4 linked regions of the Caenorhabditis elegans genome follow. The protein of the gene in region 1 purifies or fractionates together with the protein of each later gene. This does not show direct contact. Each region holds a gene or a part of one and is shown in the gene's direction. Other genes may lie near its edges.

What was found.
Region 2: the proteins of gspd-1 (region 1) and smg-6 fractionate together in Caenorhabditis elegans (co-fractionation; one large-scale study listed by BioGRID). This does not show direct contact.
Region 3: the proteins of gspd-1 (region 1) and lig-1 fractionate together in Caenorhabditis elegans (co-fractionation; one large-scale study listed by BioGRID). This does not show direct contact.
Region 4: the proteins of gspd-1 (region 1) and F08F8.7 fractionate together in Caenorhabditis elegans (co-fractionation; one large-scale study listed by BioGRID). This does not show direct contact.

Annotation. Positions count from the first base shown.
Region 1 is NC_003282.8:11,315,853-11,320,497, forward strand, and holds gspd-1 (Glucose-6-phosphate 1-dehydrogenase), read left to right. Parts: upstream 1-1,566; 5' UTR 1,567-1,568; coding exon 1,569-1,694; intron 1,695-1,747; coding exon 1,748-1,954; intron 1,955-2,370; coding exon 2,371-2,446; intron 2,447-2,490; coding exon 2,491-2,743; intron 2,744-2,801; coding exon 2,802-3,103; intron 3,104-3,164; coding exon 3,165-3,302; intron 3,303-3,354; coding exon 3,355-3,556; intron 3,557-3,607; coding exon 3,608-3,784; intron 3,785-3,837; coding exon 3,838-3,925; 3' UTR 3,926-4,099; downstream 4,100-4,645. Other genes in the region: B0035.18 (Mitochondrial cytochrome c oxidase subunit VIc/VIIs domain-containing protein), read left to right, coding at 4,468-4,616. UniProt on the Caenorhabditis elegans protein: Cytosolic glucose-6-phosphate dehydrogenase that catalyzes the first and rate-limiting step of the oxidative branch within the pentose phosphate pathway/shunt, an alternative route to glycolysis for the dissimilation of carbohydrates and a major source of reducing power and metabolic intermediates for fatty acid and nucleic acid biosynthetic processes.
Region 2 is NC_003281.10:2,471,846-2,476,897, forward strand, and holds the start of smg-6 (PIN domain-containing protein), read left to right. Parts: upstream 1-2,022; 5' UTR 2,023-2,035; coding exon 2,036-2,395; intron 2,396-3,496; coding exon 3,497-3,652; intron 3,653-4,264; coding exon 4,265-5,052.
Region 3 is NC_003283.11:10,812,516-10,817,237, forward strand, and holds lig-1 (DNA ligase 1), read left to right. Parts: upstream 1-1,597; coding exon 1,598-1,650; intron 1,651-1,696; coding exon 1,697-1,904; intron 1,905-1,950; coding exon 1,951-2,375; intron 2,376-2,421; coding exon 2,422-3,784; intron 3,785-3,835; coding exon 3,836-4,108; 3' UTR 4,109-4,203; downstream 4,204-4,722. Other genes in the region: C29A12.1 (uncharacterized protein), read right to left, coding at 35-198, 245-441, 486-610, 656-874. UniProt on the Caenorhabditis elegans protein: DNA ligase that seals nicks in double-stranded DNA during DNA replication, DNA recombination and DNA repair.
Region 4 is NC_003281.10:7,345,342-7,348,798, reverse strand, and holds F08F8.7 (Ribulose-phosphate 3-epimerase), read left to right. Parts: upstream 1-1,649; 5' UTR 1,650-1,656; coding exon 1,657-1,754; intron 1,755-2,153; coding exon 2,154-2,453; intron 2,454-2,505; coding exon 2,506-2,593; intron 2,594-2,642; coding exon 2,643-2,840; 3' UTR 2,841-2,944; downstream 2,945-3,457. Other genes in the region: gos-28 (Golgi SNAP receptor complex member 1), read left to right, coding at 108-217, 261-409, 456-540, 592-724, 1,074-1,198; F08F8.6 (uncharacterized protein), read right to left, coding at 2,975-3,019, 3,070-3,336, 3,418-3,457.

The DNA of each region.
Region 1 (4,645 bases):
TTTGCTGATGAATTTTTTCGACCGATTTTCCTTATCACGAATGGCACCACCCACTTGTGGGTCACACCAGATCCTAAATATCAATATAGTGGACGGGAAGAGGAAGGTTTTTTCGTGTTTGGTGTTCATTTTAGTTTACATGTTTTGTTTCCCATTGCTCTTTATTTATAGAGGAGACGCTCGCCCACGTAATATAATAGCATTTTGGAAAAATCCATTATCTTTCAGACAATCTTATCATGATTTCCACAATAGACTGGCTAGAATGTAGCATTCTAAATATTTGAATTTAACAGAAAATATTCAATTTCTCTTTAAAAAAATACTTGAAAATTAATTATATTCCCAAATTGGCAACATTCTTTCCCGATTGTCTTTCTGTCCATTTAATTTGTCTGCCCTTTCTTTTCTCACCTTTTTTATCCGTTTCTTTCTTTGTCACCTCCGAAGTTTTGTCAGCATTTTCCGTTTTTTTCTCCTCATATTTTGTTTGCACTTTTCACCTTCTAAAAAAATGATCGGCAGAGACACAAATAAATGTGGCCATTCGTGTGCTCCGTTTTCCAAATGAAACCCGATTGGCAGAATTTATGGTTGAAAATGCATAGTTATTTAGGAGTTGCAAAGAACAGTTTTCATTCTTCTTTTTCTTTGTCTTCTTGTTAATTTGGTAAACTGATCAGACGTTAATCAAATTGATAAACTTTCAAGTTCAGTGATTTTTGATTTGTTTTCTGAAAACGAAATTAGTTTTTTCTCTGATAGACTAAGTCTTCGAAGAATTCATCTTCCAGATAAAATCCAAAAAAAATGTGTTCCAGAATATCCTAGTCGGTCAACTAAAAGTCAAGAACCATAGATTAAATCTAGAGTTACAAAGTTTCGTCTCTTCTCCAGAGTCAAGTTACTCGAGTTTTTATGTTTCCTAGAGAAATACATTGTTTCTTTTCATTGTCGATCAATGTCGCCCAGAGAACATTATTTGTCATGGTTACCACTCGCACACACTACACAATTTCATTCAGTCATCATTTTTTGTGACCCGAGAAGATTTCAGTAAATATTTTCATGTTTGTAAAGAGACTGGCGCATCCACTTTTCTCTTACTGTTTCTTTCTTCTCTCGCTGCCCTGTGAAAAAAATGGAAGTGGAGTAAAAAGTGACCGATTTATAGTGTTGTTCCAGTTGTTCCAATTCATTTATATTGTAGACTGCGGTTCGCTACTAGGTATATGATTCGAAAGGAAAAATTACATTTTTTAGTGCTAGAAATTAACATTATTCCATTAAATGTAACTAGCTGAAAGTAAGCAGTTTATTACTCTGCCAGTAAAAAAGAATTGCGCAGAATCATTATGAAGTACATCAATATATCAATTAACGTATTTCTTTTTGATTTTTCGTTGTATAAATGAAACAATAATCTCACTTTTAAATAACATTTATGTGTATCTAGATGGTTTACTTTGAAACTTGTAGTTTCTACTATTTACCTCTCAACACGAGTAATTTTTGTGAATCAATGTTCGTCATTCTCACTTCAAAATCTAGTTTATAAATTTACAGAAATGGCATGCAAACGTCATTCAGTGTCCGATCCCATTTCGAAGGATCTCGTCGAGTGTCTTCGTGAATCAATGCAAAGAGATCTCAAATTTGAGACTCCGTACGTTTTCGTGATATTTGGAGCATCGGTATGACATCTATTCCATATATATCGATTATTAATTATTTAACATTTTTTCAGGGAGATCTCGCAAAAAAGAAAATATACCCAACACTGTGGTGGTTGTTCCGTGACAACCTTTTGCCAGTCAACATCAAATTTATTGGATATGCCCGTTCCGATCTGACAGTTTTCAAGCTTCGTGAATCTTTTGAGAAAAACTGTAAAGTTCGAGAAAATGAGAAATGTGCTTTTGATGACTTCATCAAGAAGTGCTCATACGTTCAGGTAAATCTACATCTGCTAATAAATAGGCGTGAAACTTTGTTCCAAAAATACAGTGCTCGGTCTCGACACCACAAATTTGTGTTAAATGCGAAAACGTATCACCTTTAAACAGTACTGTAGCTTCAAGCTTTTGTCGATTTCAGATTTTAAAAAAATTGTTTTAAAACTGAAAAAAAATAATTGCAACACATACATTTTTTTTACAAATCAGGTAGGAAAACTACGAAAACCAACAAAAACTTGAAACTACAGTACTCTTTAAAGGCGCGCACTTTTTTGCATTCAACAAAAATTGTGGGGTCGAGACCGGTTACCGTATTTTTCGCACAAAATCTTGTTACTGGGTAATAAAAATTTGAATCGAAGCTTTTTTCTAGAAACTTTGAACATAAAAAGCACCATTGACATTTTTTCAGGGCCAATACGACACTTCTGAAGGATTCCAACGCCTTCAATCTTCAATTGATGATTTCCAAAAAGAAAGCAATAATCGTAGGTTTAGAATTAAATTTCACTCAATCTAAGCAAATTTATAGAAGCCGTCAATCGTCTCTACTACCTCGCTCTTCCTCCATCAGTTTTCAACGTGGTTTCTACGGAATTAAAGAAGAATTGTATGGATCATGGTGATTCATGGACACGTGTTATCATAGAAAAACCATTTGGACATGATTTGAAATCATCTTGTGAACTTTCAACTCATTTGGCGAAACTTTTTAAAGAAGATCAAATCTACCGTATTGATCATTATCTCGGAAAAGAAATGGTTCAGAATTTGATGGTTATGCGGTAAGAATGTTTTTTCAAAGTATTTGAAGAGATTTATAATTTTATTTTGAACTTTCAGATTTGGAAACCGAATTCTCGCTCCATCTTGGAACCGCGATCACATTGCATCAGTTATGATCTCATTTAAAGAAGATTTTGGAACTGGTGGCCGTGCTGGATATTTTGATACAGCTGGAATTATCCGTGATGTTATGCAGAATCATTTGATGCAAATTCTAACTTTAGTCGCCATGGAGAAACCAGCAAGTTTGAATGCTGAAGATATTCGTGATGAAAAGGTCAAAGTGTTGAAAGCTGCTAAAGTTGTAGAATTAAAGGATGTAGTAGTTGGACAATACATTGCCAGTCCTGAATTTGATCGTGAGTTTTTCAAAAATTACAATTTTATAAAAGTTTTGATTTTTAAATACATTAATTTTAGACCCAGAAGCATCACAAGGATACAAAGATGACAAATCAGTTCCAGCCGATTCGACTACTCCAACGTATGCTCTTGCTGTTGTTCACATCAATAATGAACGTTGGGAGGGTGTTCCATTCTTCTTGCGTTGTGGAAAAGGTAGGGAATATACAAAAAAAAACCGAATTTTTAAATTTCAATATTATTGCAGCTCTCAACGAGAAGAAAGCAGAAGTTCGTATACAATTCAAAGAAGTCAGTGGAGATATCTATCCGTCTGGTGAATTAAAGCGATCCGAATTAGTGATGAGAGTGCAACCAAATGAGGCAGTTTACATGAAACTGATGACCAAGAAACCTGGAATGGGATTCGGTGTTGAAGAAACTGAACTTGATTTGACTTATAATAATAGGTTAGTTTTTGAAATTTCTCTTCAAAAAAAATTTCATTGTGATAATTTCAGATTCAAAGAAGTCCGTCTTCCTGATGCTTATGAACGCCTATTTCTCGAAGTATTCATGGGATCTCAAATTAATTTCGTTCGAACTGATGAGCTTGAATACGCTTGGCGTATTTTGACGCCAGTTCTCGAAGAGCTTAAAAAGAAGAAAGTTCAACCGGTTCAATATAAATTTGGAAGGTTGGTTGTGTTTCTTTTTTTTTAAAATTAAATACAGTAATCCAATTTTTCAGTCGTGGTCCAACTGAAGGTGACGAATTGATGAAAAAGTACGGTTTCATCTTCACTGGAACATACAAATGGGTTGCTCCAAAGCTATAAATGATACCAGATCTTCCTCTATTCATTCTCTTTCAAATGTTTGTAGAAATAACTTCAAAAATTCAGCAGCTACTAGTTCATATGTTTTCCTGTGTTCCACATCAATATTATTCCTGCTCTTTTTTCATTTGTTAATGTTCTATTGAATGAATGAAAATAAATACGTTTTCAGTTAAAAGAAGTGTAGAACGATAAGATAAGCCAGTAAAAAGGCTTATTTTAAATAATCTGTATTCAAAAAATAATCATTTTTTCGACAAGCCGGTTACGGTGCGCCAGTCCGCAAACACTCTGCATACACTCTACTTCTACAGTAGTGGACGTGCGACGCGTGTTGCGTCGCGCATCATCATATTGTTCAATTCTTGTTCAAGTTCAATCATATTTTCTTCGGATTTCTATCATTTTCCATCGGATTTCCCATCATTTTTGCACAAATGTTTTAAAGTATCAATATCTTTGATTTAAAAAAAAACGTCTTTCTTGTTTTACGTCTTTTTCTTGCTAGCTGCACATCGTATTACTCATTCTTTTTTTCAGCCATGGTTGCTGCTTCCGCTACCCGGAACATGCTCCAATCATATGGAAAACGTGGAATTTACGTTTCACTTGCTGTCGCTGTCGTCTCGACTGCCGCATTCAACGCATTTTACGTTTGGCCACGTCACAACAAATATGAAGAGTTTTTCGCGTCAGTGTGATCCTCGCACAAGTGTCTCC
Region 2 (5,052 bases), on another chromosome or scaffold:
CTTATTGCTCACCCTAATACTTATTTTAATTTCTAACATCGCTGATAACGTCTAACATTCTAAAAAACCTCCACAGCGAACCCCTTCCATTCCCACGGTCCTCTTCTTCTCCGCCAAAGGTCATACTCATCTTCCCATAGTCCGCAATTACACCCCCTCCCCCCTCGACGCACAATTGCGTACCCCACCCTCCTCTCAGCGTCTCCAGCCGTCATCCCTTTTCTCTGCCCAATTCATATCACACATTTTCTCTTTCTCTCTTCCCATTCACTCTTTTCTTTTCGTTCCCTGTTTTTTTGTTACAATGCACGTGTGTGTTTATACTGCTCTCTGAGGGAGAAAAAATCAGTAAATATATCATTTCTGTGAGGTCCGTTTTTTTTTAGTCCAAATAGGCTGTAGTAGGCTGAAAAAGCTTACTTTAATTACTATATTAATCGAAAAAGAACGTAAATTGACAACATTTATTGCTCAAATTTGAAAAATTGCTGCATTTTTGAGCATTGTAATTAATTACAACACACATATATATATATAATTTTAAAAAATGACGAAATTTAATTTTTGAGCAAAAAGAATTGTCAAATTTCGTTTTAGTAGTACTTTTGTACTTTTGTTTAAAATCCCAATTAGAAACGTTACTTTGAAAACTACCATATTCTTGAATTTTTTATTTCAAATTTCGGTTATAAACGCTATTTAATTCCCAATTTCCAATGAGCCTCTACTAGAGTCTTCCCCAATTAGAAATCGATACCGAAAATTCCATTGTTACCCCCCATGTACTTTCCCATGTCTCTATTTGATGGGTGGCTAATCAAACAATTACCCCTTCCCTCCCCCCACCCCGCCGACGTGTATGTTCTGTTTAGCTTAACAGAAGGTACCCGCTCCACCAGTGATAAGAATTGTTTCACTGTGTTGTATGTGTTTGCATTTCGGAACAGGAAAACGTTTGGTGGTGGGGGGACATAAAAGTTACATAAAACTTTTTTTTTGTTACTTTGCGAAAATCGAAATAAAAGTAGCGATCTTGTGATATCGGAGAAATTTAGGGTTTACTAGTATTCTTGGGAGGGAAAATCTCAAAAAATCCGAATTTCCAGACCCAAAAGGCCCTTAATTTATATAAAGTATGGTTTTCAGAACTTAATAGCTTGGTTTTAACTATTCATATTAGTTTCAGCCTAAAAATATGACATTTTTTAAAGTTTTAACCAAAAAGTTTCTCGTCGAACCTATGAGTTTTCCCACGTGGTGTGGTAGGTTGTAACGGTGTGATCTACAAAAATGCGGGAATTTTTTTCCCCAAAAAATGTGATGTCAGCACAGTGTTAACCATGCGAAATCAGTTGAGAAGTCTGCGGCTAAATTCGCGCATTTTTTGTAGATCTACGTAGATCAAACCGATATGGGGCATTCTGACATCACACCAATTTTCAGCTTTTTCCTGGATTTCTAGGTACAAAATTGAAGTTTTCAACGCTTTTTTGGAGATTCCCACGGATTTTTAGCTATTTTCAACGGCGGTTTTCGGTTTTCCAACACCCACAGCTTTAGAAAATGCAAAATCCCGTCTAAAATCTAGAGGAATGACGAATTTTTGCGAAAAAATCTGTTTATCCTCTGCTCATCCCCTCGTAAAGCCCGCTGTCAACACCTTTTCTTAATTAAATTTTTTTGCTCCAACTCCGTTCTCACGTGGTGCCAGGCTGTCCCATTACGGTTTGATCTACAAAAAAATGCGGTTTTTTTTGCCCAGAAAAATGTGAAACCATACAAAATCAGTTGAGAACTCTGCGCCTCTTCTCCCGCATTTTTTGTAGATCTACGTAGATCAAGCCGAAATGAGACACTTTGACACCGCGTGCTTTCTCTTCAATTATAGCTTTTTCTCCTGAACTTTTGCAGTTTTATAGCGTAGGTAGGCAGGCAGGTAGGCATGCCTGAATCTGTATTTTCCTTTTTTTGTATGTTACATGCTTCTCTTTTATGATATATCTCAAAATTCCAAATTTCCAGCTCACCAAGCAAAATGAACGGAGACACAGACGCCTCGTCATCTAGGACGGGAGCTCCACGAAAACCGCGCCCAGAAATTCAAATCTACCGTCCAGGAATGCTCCGCCAGGGAGGGAGCACGAAAAGCTTGAGCTCTACGAACGAAGAAGCACGACCACCACGCCCGGAGAAGTTGAACACAACAACGACGACGATGTCGGGCAATTCCAGACGAAGAAGCAACGATACGGACAGTGTGACGTCACGTGGTGGATCTGGAAGTACGACGCCCGATGCAAATGTGATTAATGCCATGAATGAGCGAGGTGGAGGAAGGAATCGATTTGAGAAAGGCTATCGACAACAACAGAGAACAGATGGGCCATCGAATTATGTAAGTTTTTATCTTATCGCTCAAAAACCAAAAGTTCTACCCTAACACTACAGAAAAAAACTGAAATTACCTAAAACCCTCAAAAAATTTTGGAAAAATTCATTATCTAGCACGGGGAAACGGTGTCAGAGTGCCTCATTTTGACGTGATCTTCGTGGATCTACAAAAAATGCGGGAGTTGAGACGCAGAGTTCTCAACTAATTTTGCATGGTTAAGAACGTGCTGGCGCCACATTTTTGGTAATAAAAATTCCCGTATTTTTCGTAGATCAAACCGTGATGGGACATCCTGACACCACCCTCAGCAAATTTTGAAAAACTAATATTTTAGCATGATAAAAGCCCCAAATTCAGCTGAAAATGTCTCAAAATACCTTAAAAGCACTAGAAAACGACTTGAATTAACGGAAAATCTTAAAATCTATGGCAAAACTGATATTTTTACGGGAAAAGCCAAAAATTTTCAGTAAATCTCTCGAAACCCAAAGTCTTCACTATGAAGTAGCTGAAATTGACTGAAAACCCTCAAAAATTGTTTAAAAACTCATTATTAGCACGAGAAAATACCTTAGTTGGCTGAAAATCCCCAAAAACGCCAAAAATCCAAATATTTAACTCTAAAGCCACTGTGGAACGGCTGAAGGTAACTCAAAATCCTCAAAATTTGAGAAATCACGTGGTATCAAGTTGCCCCATAACGGTTTGATCTACAAAAATGCGGGAATTTTTTGGCCAAAAAATGTGACGCCAGCACGTTCTTAACAATGCGAAATCAAATGAGAACTCTGCGTCTCTTTTCCCGCAATTTTTGTAGAACTACGTAGATCAAGCCAAAATTGGAGACTCTGACACCACGTGAGATCACGTATTTTGGCTCTGGAATTTAGCTGGAAAAGGTCTCAAATTCTCATGAAACCCGACTGAACCCAACTTCAAACTGGCTGAAAACTTATATTTTGTCTCGAAGACTCCAGGAAAAAAGCTAAGAATTGCTCAAGATTGAACTCAAATCCCCAGAACTAGACAAAAGTCTGAAATTGACTGAAAAGTTGCACACCCCTACAAATGTCCCAAATCCCACGAAAACCATTCCAATTCCAGAATTCCACACAATCCCTCTACGACACACGGCAACATGGTGGCTATATGGAGTACCAGGGCAACCACCGATCGAATCACCGGAATAATGGGAGATACAGTAACCAGCAGCATCAGCAGCATCGGCAACCGTTCGAACGACCCGGCGGAAATCATTATGTAGGTTATCAGGTTTTCTTAATGGAAGTGTCTGGGGGGGAGAAGGGGTGAATTAATTAGAATTAATGGGATGTGTGGGATGTGAAGTGATCAGTAAGGTATGATGGGAATATGGAAACTTTAGGAAAAAAGAAATTTTGGGGAAAAAGAGATAAATCGCTCAAATTCTAGTCTAAAACTGTAAAACTTAGTAGAAATTGTACCAAACAGCTGAGAAAAGCTTTAGAAATTAGCCCACTTCAAGAAAATTCACGTCTAGTACAGAAAGCTAGAGATTTTATCAATCTGGACAGTTTTCCATACAAATTCGAGGTTTTTACTGGTGAAAACTGTCAGAATTTGAGAAATTTGACAATCTGAACTTAGAATTACGTTTAATACCGCCTTAAGAAGGCATGATACCGTTTCGAATTGTAAAACTCTGAACAACCTTAGAAAATTGTCCGTTCTCGAAAAAAAACATAAATTTTTGCGGAAATCACCATTGAGTACGATAGTCAAGTACGCAAACACGACGCGCATTTACAAAATTGCGTATCAAATATTTTTTGAGCTAAAGCTTTTTTTGTTCAAACAACCAAACTTTTAAAGCTAAATCTTTTCAATTTCCAGACCCGCGGCTTCAACGAGCGAGCTTCCATGCGCGGGGACGGCGCCATCGCCCGACGTCCTCAAGGATCCCGTCGCCAACGCAACGATTCCATCAACTCTACCCAATCAGAAATGCCACCTCAAACCGGTGCTCAACTTCACATTGACACCTCATTCGACTCGGCATCTCAGTGTGGAGCCTCATCGAATTTCTCGATGAATTCCCTTGGCGAGGCGTTCAGTTTCGAGGAAATGTGCCAGAACCTGCAGAATTTCGCGTCGATGGATTGGAGTAAAGAGGTGGAAAATGAGTTTGCAATGCAGAAAGAGCAGGAGGAAGAGGAAGAGCGACGGATGGAGCAGAAGCTTCAAGAAGCTGCTGCTCAGGAAGCTCAGAAAGCGGCGTCTCCGAGGAGAAATAACCGAAGGAATAATCGAAGAGGTGGAGGCAACAGTCGGTACCATCCCGATGAATCCGACAGAGAAAGCTCGTTCGGTGGAAGTATCGCCGAGGAAAAAGAGGAAGAAGAAGCCGAGGAAGAGCTCAAAAGTGGTGAGAGAACTCCGACTTCTGTGCGAAGCGGCAACTCTTATAATCCACGTGTTCTGTACCAGAGAACACGTGGAGCCAACGACGAGAACCATCCGAAACGAAGAGACGCCGCCGTGGAGAAGAAGCCGAAAGAGCCGAGACGGTACCGCGGTGAGCATGACGATCGGGATGATGATGCTTCGGAGTATCATGGAACGCTGGAGAACCATATGTCGTCGGGACGTCTTGCTGGGAGAATTCAGATTGTGCAGCGCTC
Region 3 (4,722 bases), on another chromosome or scaffold:
AGGAATGAAAATAAATCGGAATCCATTTTTATACCTTGACAGATCCCAAAACTTTCCGGCCAAGGCTGCGAGAGCGACGTTTTCTCGGAAGATTGGGCGATTCAAAGGGTGTAGAAATGTCTTCCGCAGGGGTCTCAAAATGTTCGAAATGAGGTGTAACGTTTACAGAATTAATGGCTTCCGCATAAGCAAGGTAAACTGAAACAGTTTATAAATATTAAATCAATCAACCTGAAATTCATACCTTCGTGATCTCTCATAGCTTGTGAACGAGCCTGCTCTTGAAAATCTCGCCGGATATTTTCAGCTTGAAGATCTCTCAGTTTTTTTTCGGATTCCATTGTTTTCTTCAGCTGCTCTTTCTTCAATTGCTCCAGTCGTCTCATAACAATTTCCTTCTCATTCAATAACTTTGCATGCTTTCTTTGAGCATTTGACTTTCTGAAATGATATTTTTAATCCAATTATTTACTTTTTGAACTTACGCGATGAACAATCGCTTGTTCTGGTCGTTATTGACAATTTTGTACATATTTTGTGTGATGGAATTTATTGCATTGACGACATCAACAAGGCATTCCATAACTGGAGCATTGTCGGCAGGATTGATCTGAAAAAGGAAACAAATGTTTGTTAAACACATTCTCGTCTATACCTCCGACACAGTTTCTGCCACGTGAACACGTATGGAAAAATCTTCAAGCTCGTCAGTGAGTGTTCCGGCCCCATCCATCCACTTCTGTGCCCAGGCGACTAGGTTTCGCTGGTTCTCTGGCGCCTTTACATTTTTACACAAATCGAGAAGGACTGCCAACCATTTTGCAGCCTCATTATGTAGTTCATCGAGAAGGTCCTTTTTCTGTGACAGGGACATTCTGAAACAGTGTTAGAAAATGAACATCGATGAAAGACACGTGTATTCAGCTCGACTAACGCCTCGAAAATTTTCAAAAAAGGCGGGAAAAAATATTTGAATTCGCCAAGAGGAATTTCACCGCAGCGCGTGCAAAAATGTCTGCATTTGCGCGTGACGGTGTTTGCACAAATTACACCGAATGGTCGAGCTGAAAACACGTGAAAGAAACTGAATGCCGTTATTTTCCGCGACGTGCTGAAAGTCGGTATTTTTGATGTGCAGGCATTGGAGTACGGTAGCAATGAACTTTTCTTTTGGTAGGTTCAAATGTGTTGTCTAAATATTCTTTTTTTTATTAATTATAGGTCTCTCACTATCTTTTAAAAAGCAAATAGACGATGGTATTTTCAATGTCCCATTTTTCTATTTTTAATAACGTCGACTTTAATCACAAGGAAAGAAGCATTTACGATTTGCCGGTTTTTAACTGTCTATGTCTCTTAGTCTCCACACTCTCTCATGTGCGCGCAATCGTGCTCTAATGCATCTGGTGCGCGCGCCGTTCAAAATGTATCGTTTTCTGGTTCGATTAATACAACTTTATTTTTAATACTTGCTCGATATTCTCTTGATTTTGCACACTGCCAAGTATTTTACGTTGTATCCCTTCACGTATTAATTATTCATCTTCGAAACCTTTTCTTCTCGAATAATGTAAATTTCACATCTTCATCGTTTCAGATGTTTTTCTCAAAAGCTGGCAAAGCCGCTGTTGAATGGGCAAAGGGTTCAAAGTAAGTTTTTTGTGGAACATACTGTTTTTTATTTCTAAATTTTCAGAGTCCCTTACAAGGAGTTTGCTCTCACCCTTGAGAAAATCGAAGAGTTATCGGGAAAAAAGAAAGTGGATGAATTGGCTCAATTTTTCACCAAAGTTCTGGACTTTTCACCCGACGATTTAACAGCGTGCGTGTACATGTCAGTTAATCAGCTCGGGCCATCGTATGAAGGGCTCGAGCTTGGAGTTGCTGAAAATTCGCTGATCAAGGTTTGCATTCCACTGAATCTATATTAAATTATAAAGAAAATTTAAGGCTGTTGCTAAAGCGACCGGACGTACAGAGGGAAAAATTAAAGAAGATCTTCGCGCGAAAGGAGATCTTGGGACTGTCGCACAACAGTCAAGATCCAATCAGAAAATGCTTGCTGTTCCAAAAGCATTAACTGTTCCAACTGTTTTCAACAAGTTAACCGAAATTGCAAAGCTCAGTGGCACTTCAGCTATGAACAAGAAAGTTGATGCCATTAGTGCACTCCTCATTGCATGTCAAGGAATTGAGGCTCGATTCCTCGTCCGAATGCTCGCCGGCAAAATGAGAATCGGTCTCGGTGAACAAAGTGTTCTATCAGCACTTGGACATGCATTCACTCTTTCGAAAATAACTGATCAAAAGGTTCGTGGTGACAAACTCGATTCTCTGAAAGATGCAAATGTTAAGCGAGTAAAGACCGCCTATTGGTAATAATTGTTTCTTTATTAAATTATTCATCTAATTAATTTTCAGCGAATGCCCTAACTACAATCGTCTGATCGAAGTTGCACTGACTGAAGGTGTGGAAGCTCTTGTCGAAAAATGTAAACTTTCACCCGGAATTCCACTGAAACCTATGCTGGCTCACCCTACAAAGGGAATTGATGAAATTATGCGACGATTCAGAAATCAGACAATGACCTGTGAATGGAAATATGACGGAGAACGCGGCCAGATTCATAAACGAGAAGACGGGCAAATTTTCATCTACAGTCGAAACCAAGAGAACAACACTACCAAGTACCCCGATATTATCGAAAAAATTTCATCCTGCATCGGGGATGGGGTAACTTCATTTATTGTCGATGCTGAAGTTGTAGCTATCGATGAGGCTGGCTTAATTCTTCCGTTCCAAGTTTTGTCGACTCGTAAAAGGAAAAATGCAACTGATGATAACGGAGTCAAGGTTGTAGTTTTTCTTTTCGATCTTCTCTACTTCAATGGGGAGCCTCTCGTGAGAAAACCACTCCGAAAAAGAAGAGAACTTCTTCGAACAAACTTCAAAAAGATTGATGGAAGCTTCTATTTTGCAACTTCCGTAGATACAAATGATACTGATGAAATCAACTCTTTCTTCGATGAAGCCGTTCAAAATAAATGCGAAGGACTCATGATCAAAACTCTCGACACTGAAGCTACTTATGAGATTTCAAGACGTTCCCACAGCTGGTTGAAAATGAAGAAAGATTACGTTGATGGAGTAGGAGATACGTTGGATCTTGTCGTCATGGGTGCTTATTCTGGAGTTGGAAAGAGAACTGGAGTGTATGGAGGATATCTTCTCGGATGTTACAATCCTACTACAGAAGAGTACGAAAGTGTATGCAAGATTGGAACTGGTTTCACTGATGAAGATTTGGCCGAGCAATACAAGATCCTACAAGACAAGAAAATTGACAAATCTCCTTCTTATTATCAATTTGATCACACTCTTAAACCAGATGACACTTTTTCTCCGTATCTTGTTTTCGAAGTCAAATGTGCCGATATTACTATATCTCCGCGTCACAAAGCTGCAAGTGGATTGACGGATGATGGAAAAGGAATCTCTTTGAGATTTCCTCGTTTCCTGCGTATTCGGGACGATAAAAATTCCGACGATGCAACATCTTCGGAGCAAGTTCTTGAAATGTACAAAAACCAAGAAGCTTTTGCCAACCAGAAGATCGAAAAGGCGGATGCAGTTGATGAGGATGACGAATTTGAAGAAAAAGAAGATGAAGAGGAGGAGTTGAACATGACCAATGTATCTGAAGGAAGTTCTAAAGAAAATCCAGTGAAAGAGGAGATCAAGAAAGAGACTCCTAAATCAGTATCCCCGAAAAAATTCGAAAAGGTTTTAGTTTTTGAAATTACCATTATCGCTAATTATATATATTATTTCCAGAAACCGCCTGTAAAATCTTCACCAGTTAACAAATCGCCCGTGAAAAGTTCACCAATAAAGAAAGAAGCAGAGAAAAAGAAAGGACCAGTTGCTAGCATCTTTTCATCATCGACAAAGAAGAATGAAAAAGACGTTAAAGTGGAATCTCCATCTCCGATCAGAAAGAAGAAGCTGCCTTCTGATTCTGACGAGTCTGATGAAGAAACCTCAACTAATAAGAAACAGCCAGCAAAGAAGAGGTCTCGCGTTGCAATTGATTCCGATTCCGACTAATGCCAAGCAACTAATACTGAGATACATTTCTGCATATTCAATGATTTACTTTTTGTACTATGTTTCCTAATTTTCTAAGTAAATACCTCACATCGACTTTTTCTTTTGTTCACGGCCGGTCATTTTAAACAACTCATTCATGTGTGCGAATGTGTTGTACTTTCAACTGATTTATTCAGAACTTTGGATTTTGAGTCTTCTATTTAGGAAAGAGATAGACGCTGACCTAGATACCTAGAAACAAACACATAGTAAAACTTTACTAAAAAGACAAATGTATATCTACATTCTACCACGTCTGTGTACTCCTGAATCATCTTCTCTCCTTCGTGCATTCTTCTGTTGTGTCGTTGACTTACGTAGTGCGCATCCGCAAAATTCGATTTGCAGTTCAATACGGGAGAGCAGAAAGCATAAGACATTCTGATGCCTCAAACCAATTCAATTAATATTCTTAAGTTTCAAACAAAAAGTTTATTTAGAATTAAAACTTTGAAGCAATAATTAAAACTTTGAACAAATCTAGGTGAATTTGTCACGTCATTCCATGAATCCGCTACTATCCAAAAAAGCGTATCGGGAAAGAATCGTAACAGGTATCCTTCTCACAATTT
Region 4 (3,457 bases), on another chromosome or scaffold:
GTGTCGAGACCGGGTACAGTATTTTTGGCGTTTGAATAACCAACTTTCGAACATGTCTCTCAGAAAAATATTTAATAAACATGTTTCCTATTGAAAAAATATTTCAGGCGGTTTTGACATCGACGAGAAAACAGTTTCCTCAAGACAAACGAGCTTCAAAACAGTGACAACAGAAATCGAAGGATTGATAGAGCAATTGACAAATATCAATGATGATGTTAGTTTATTTTCAATTTTGTTTTTAAATTCGTCAACTTCAGATGAATGACGTAGCTGGTGCTCAATCCTCGGCATCTTGGGCTAATAATCCAGCCATTCAACACACACTTCGACGACATCGAGAAATTCTTCGAGATTACGGTAGTGAGTATCGACGTGCAAGAGATAATGTTGATCAGGTATTACAGAGGTATGAAAAATACTTTTTTTAAATTAAACAATACGATATTATTCAGAGAACTCTTGTTGAGCAGTTCAAATGAAAATCGTAATAATCCTATACTGAACAACAGGGCTCGTGGATATGATATGTATTTGAAGGTATTTTTGGGAAGAATTTCAAGAAAGTAGTACTAATTAATTTAATTTCAGGAGAATGACCATATAAACGCTTGTGATCGATTGTTAGATGAACAGTTAGAAATGGCAATGTCAACGAAAGAGAATATGGCCAGACAGGGAATTAATCTACGTGGAATATCAACTCGGCTTCATCATATTTCAAGTAATTTATCTTTAAAAGGGAAACAATTAAAGTAAATCTAAGTATTTATGAACATTTCTGATAAAAATGTTCCTGAAACACCCGATCTTTTTTGAAATCGTCAATCTAGATTAATTTAGACCTAATAAACTTGAGTTCAAATTTCTTGCAATACAGTTTTTTGACAAAAAATCTTTAAAAAAAAACAACAAAAAATTTATTTGAAATTTGGACCGAAAAACAAAAGTTAGAATTTCTCCAAAAAGCCGAAAAAATTTCAAAAAAAAATTCCTCCTTTCAACTGAGACTCAACATTTTTGAAAAACAGTTTTACAAGCTGCATAATAATTATCAAAACAACTTTTTTTAGAAAAATATCCTGCAATTAACAATTTGATGCAAAAAATCAAAACGAAAAAGCAGAAGAACACACTGATCCTTGCTGCCGTCATCTCATCGTGCCTTATTTTTACAATTTTCTGGATTATCAATTAATCAGTTTCAAATATCAAAAAAAAACTCAAAAACTTTTTCGAACTCCGATTTTCGTATTTTTCGAAGAAATTTAACAATCGGCAGTCGTAACTTTTTATCAAGTTTTCGAGTTGTTATTACTTTGTGTCAATGAAAAATAGAAACTGAATGATAAGAATAATCGATTTTTGTACTATTCCCTTGTCCCTTCATACAACGCACACCACTTTCATTGTGATATTCCTCACCGTTTTTCTAATTTTTACTTGTAAATAATTTTCTCGTTTTGTAATCTTTCGAGTATAATGGAGTTCTTGGCTTTTTCGTTTTTTTCTCGATGTGAAACAATTGGGTATACATATTTATGAATTAAAGTATTATTTAAAGATTTTTTTGAAAGTTTACAGTTGAAAGTTTAATTCTATAACTTTATTTGTTCATTGATTCTGGATGATAAAATTTATTTATCTAGAATTCAGATGACCCTCCGTCCATTTGTGTGTCCATCAATTCTGAATGCCGATCTTGCATCATTGGCTTCTGAATGCAAGAAACTTTTAGCAGCTGGAGCAGATTGGTAAGGTGATCTTTAGAAATTCTGAATAGTTTTGACAACTACTTTCATATTTAAATGTCCCTTTAGATTTCAAAAATCTAAATGGGAACGCACAAAAACCTCTTCTGAAATCAACATGGAAACGTACTCCACGGCCAATTGGAAACGCTCCGACCCCCCGAGATTACGGTCTCGTTAGGTATTTGGCCACAAAATCGCAAATTGAAATTGTTTTCATCTTCAAACACAAATTGGCAGGACTAATTGAAAACGCTTAAACTATCAATGTCAATACCTAATGAGACCCATGGTTCGAGGGGCGGAGCGTTTTCATTTAGCAGTAAGTAAGTAACGTTTCCACTTGGATTTTCAAAGGATTTACTTTCTGCGTTCCCATAGTATCCAGCTCCCAACTTGCAGGCTTCACCTCGACGTGATGGACGGTCACTTTGTACCAAACCTCACATTCGGTCACCCTGTCGTTGAATCTCTTCGTAAATCTCTTGGTGCTGAACCATTCTTCGATGTTCATTTGATGGTCTCTAATCCTGGACAGTGGGTTGAACCGATGGCAAAAGCTGGTGCCAGCCAGTTCACATTCCATTATGAGGCTGTAGATGGTGATGTGGCAGTCAGTGAATTGATCGAAAAAATCAGAAAAAGTGGAATGAAAGTGGGATTATCGGTCAAACCGGGAACTTCTGTTGAGCATATTTTGAAGTAAAATCAAAATTATATTTCAATCTAGATTTTAAATTAAAAAACTTTTTAGACATGCTAATCATTTGGATAATGCTCTTATCATGACTGTGGAACCAGGATTTGGAGGACAAAAGTTCATGGAAAACATGATGGAAAAGGTATTTATTTTGGTTTTTATTTGATACGAATAAAATTTATGGCTTTCAGGTTCGCACAATCCGTTCAAAATATCCAAATCTGACTATTCAAGTTGACGGAGGAGTAACACCTGAAAATATTGAAATCTCTGCTCAAGCTGGAGCCAATGCGATCGTGAGTGGAACTGGAATCATCAAAGCTGCAGATCAATCTGTCGCCATGACAACAATCAGAAATGCAGTTGAAGCTGCTATTTCGAAGTGCTGATTTTCTTAATTACTTGAATATTGTTTTGAATTTTGAAGCTCATTTTTTCAGAGCTTTTTGAGGTTGTGATGTTAATAGTTAGTAAATGATTGTCAATTAAAAAATTCAAAGCAGCATTTATTTATCTATAAAGTTCAGATGGGCTCTGCAGTTCCTAGCTTCGGGGTCGGAGCAGGTGTCTGAAAAAAGAGCATTACAAAACATCATGGACCATTCTTCAGTTGCTTACATTTTTAACACTTTCCTTCTCCTTGCTCGGAGTCTTCTTATCCTGATTTGATGGCAATACTCCAGTACTTCCAATTGTATCTTTACTCGGAGTCTTTCGTGGTTCGATATTTCCTGCCTCTTGGCTCATTGCAGTATTCAACGACGGCTCCTTGCTTCTTCCTCCAGCATTTGCAGTCTTTGTAGATTGCTTCGGAGTCAACATGATCTCACGAGACGGCTGCTTACGATTCGGAATTGGAGGAGGAGAACGTGGCAATGTCTTTTTCTGAAAAATTGGTTGTACTTTTGCTCAAGATCTTGGAGTACTACAAAAGCTAAAAAATATTTCGAAAAATAAAAAACGAACCAGATCAGTCTCACTCTCCTTTGGTGTCTTCTGTAAGCTG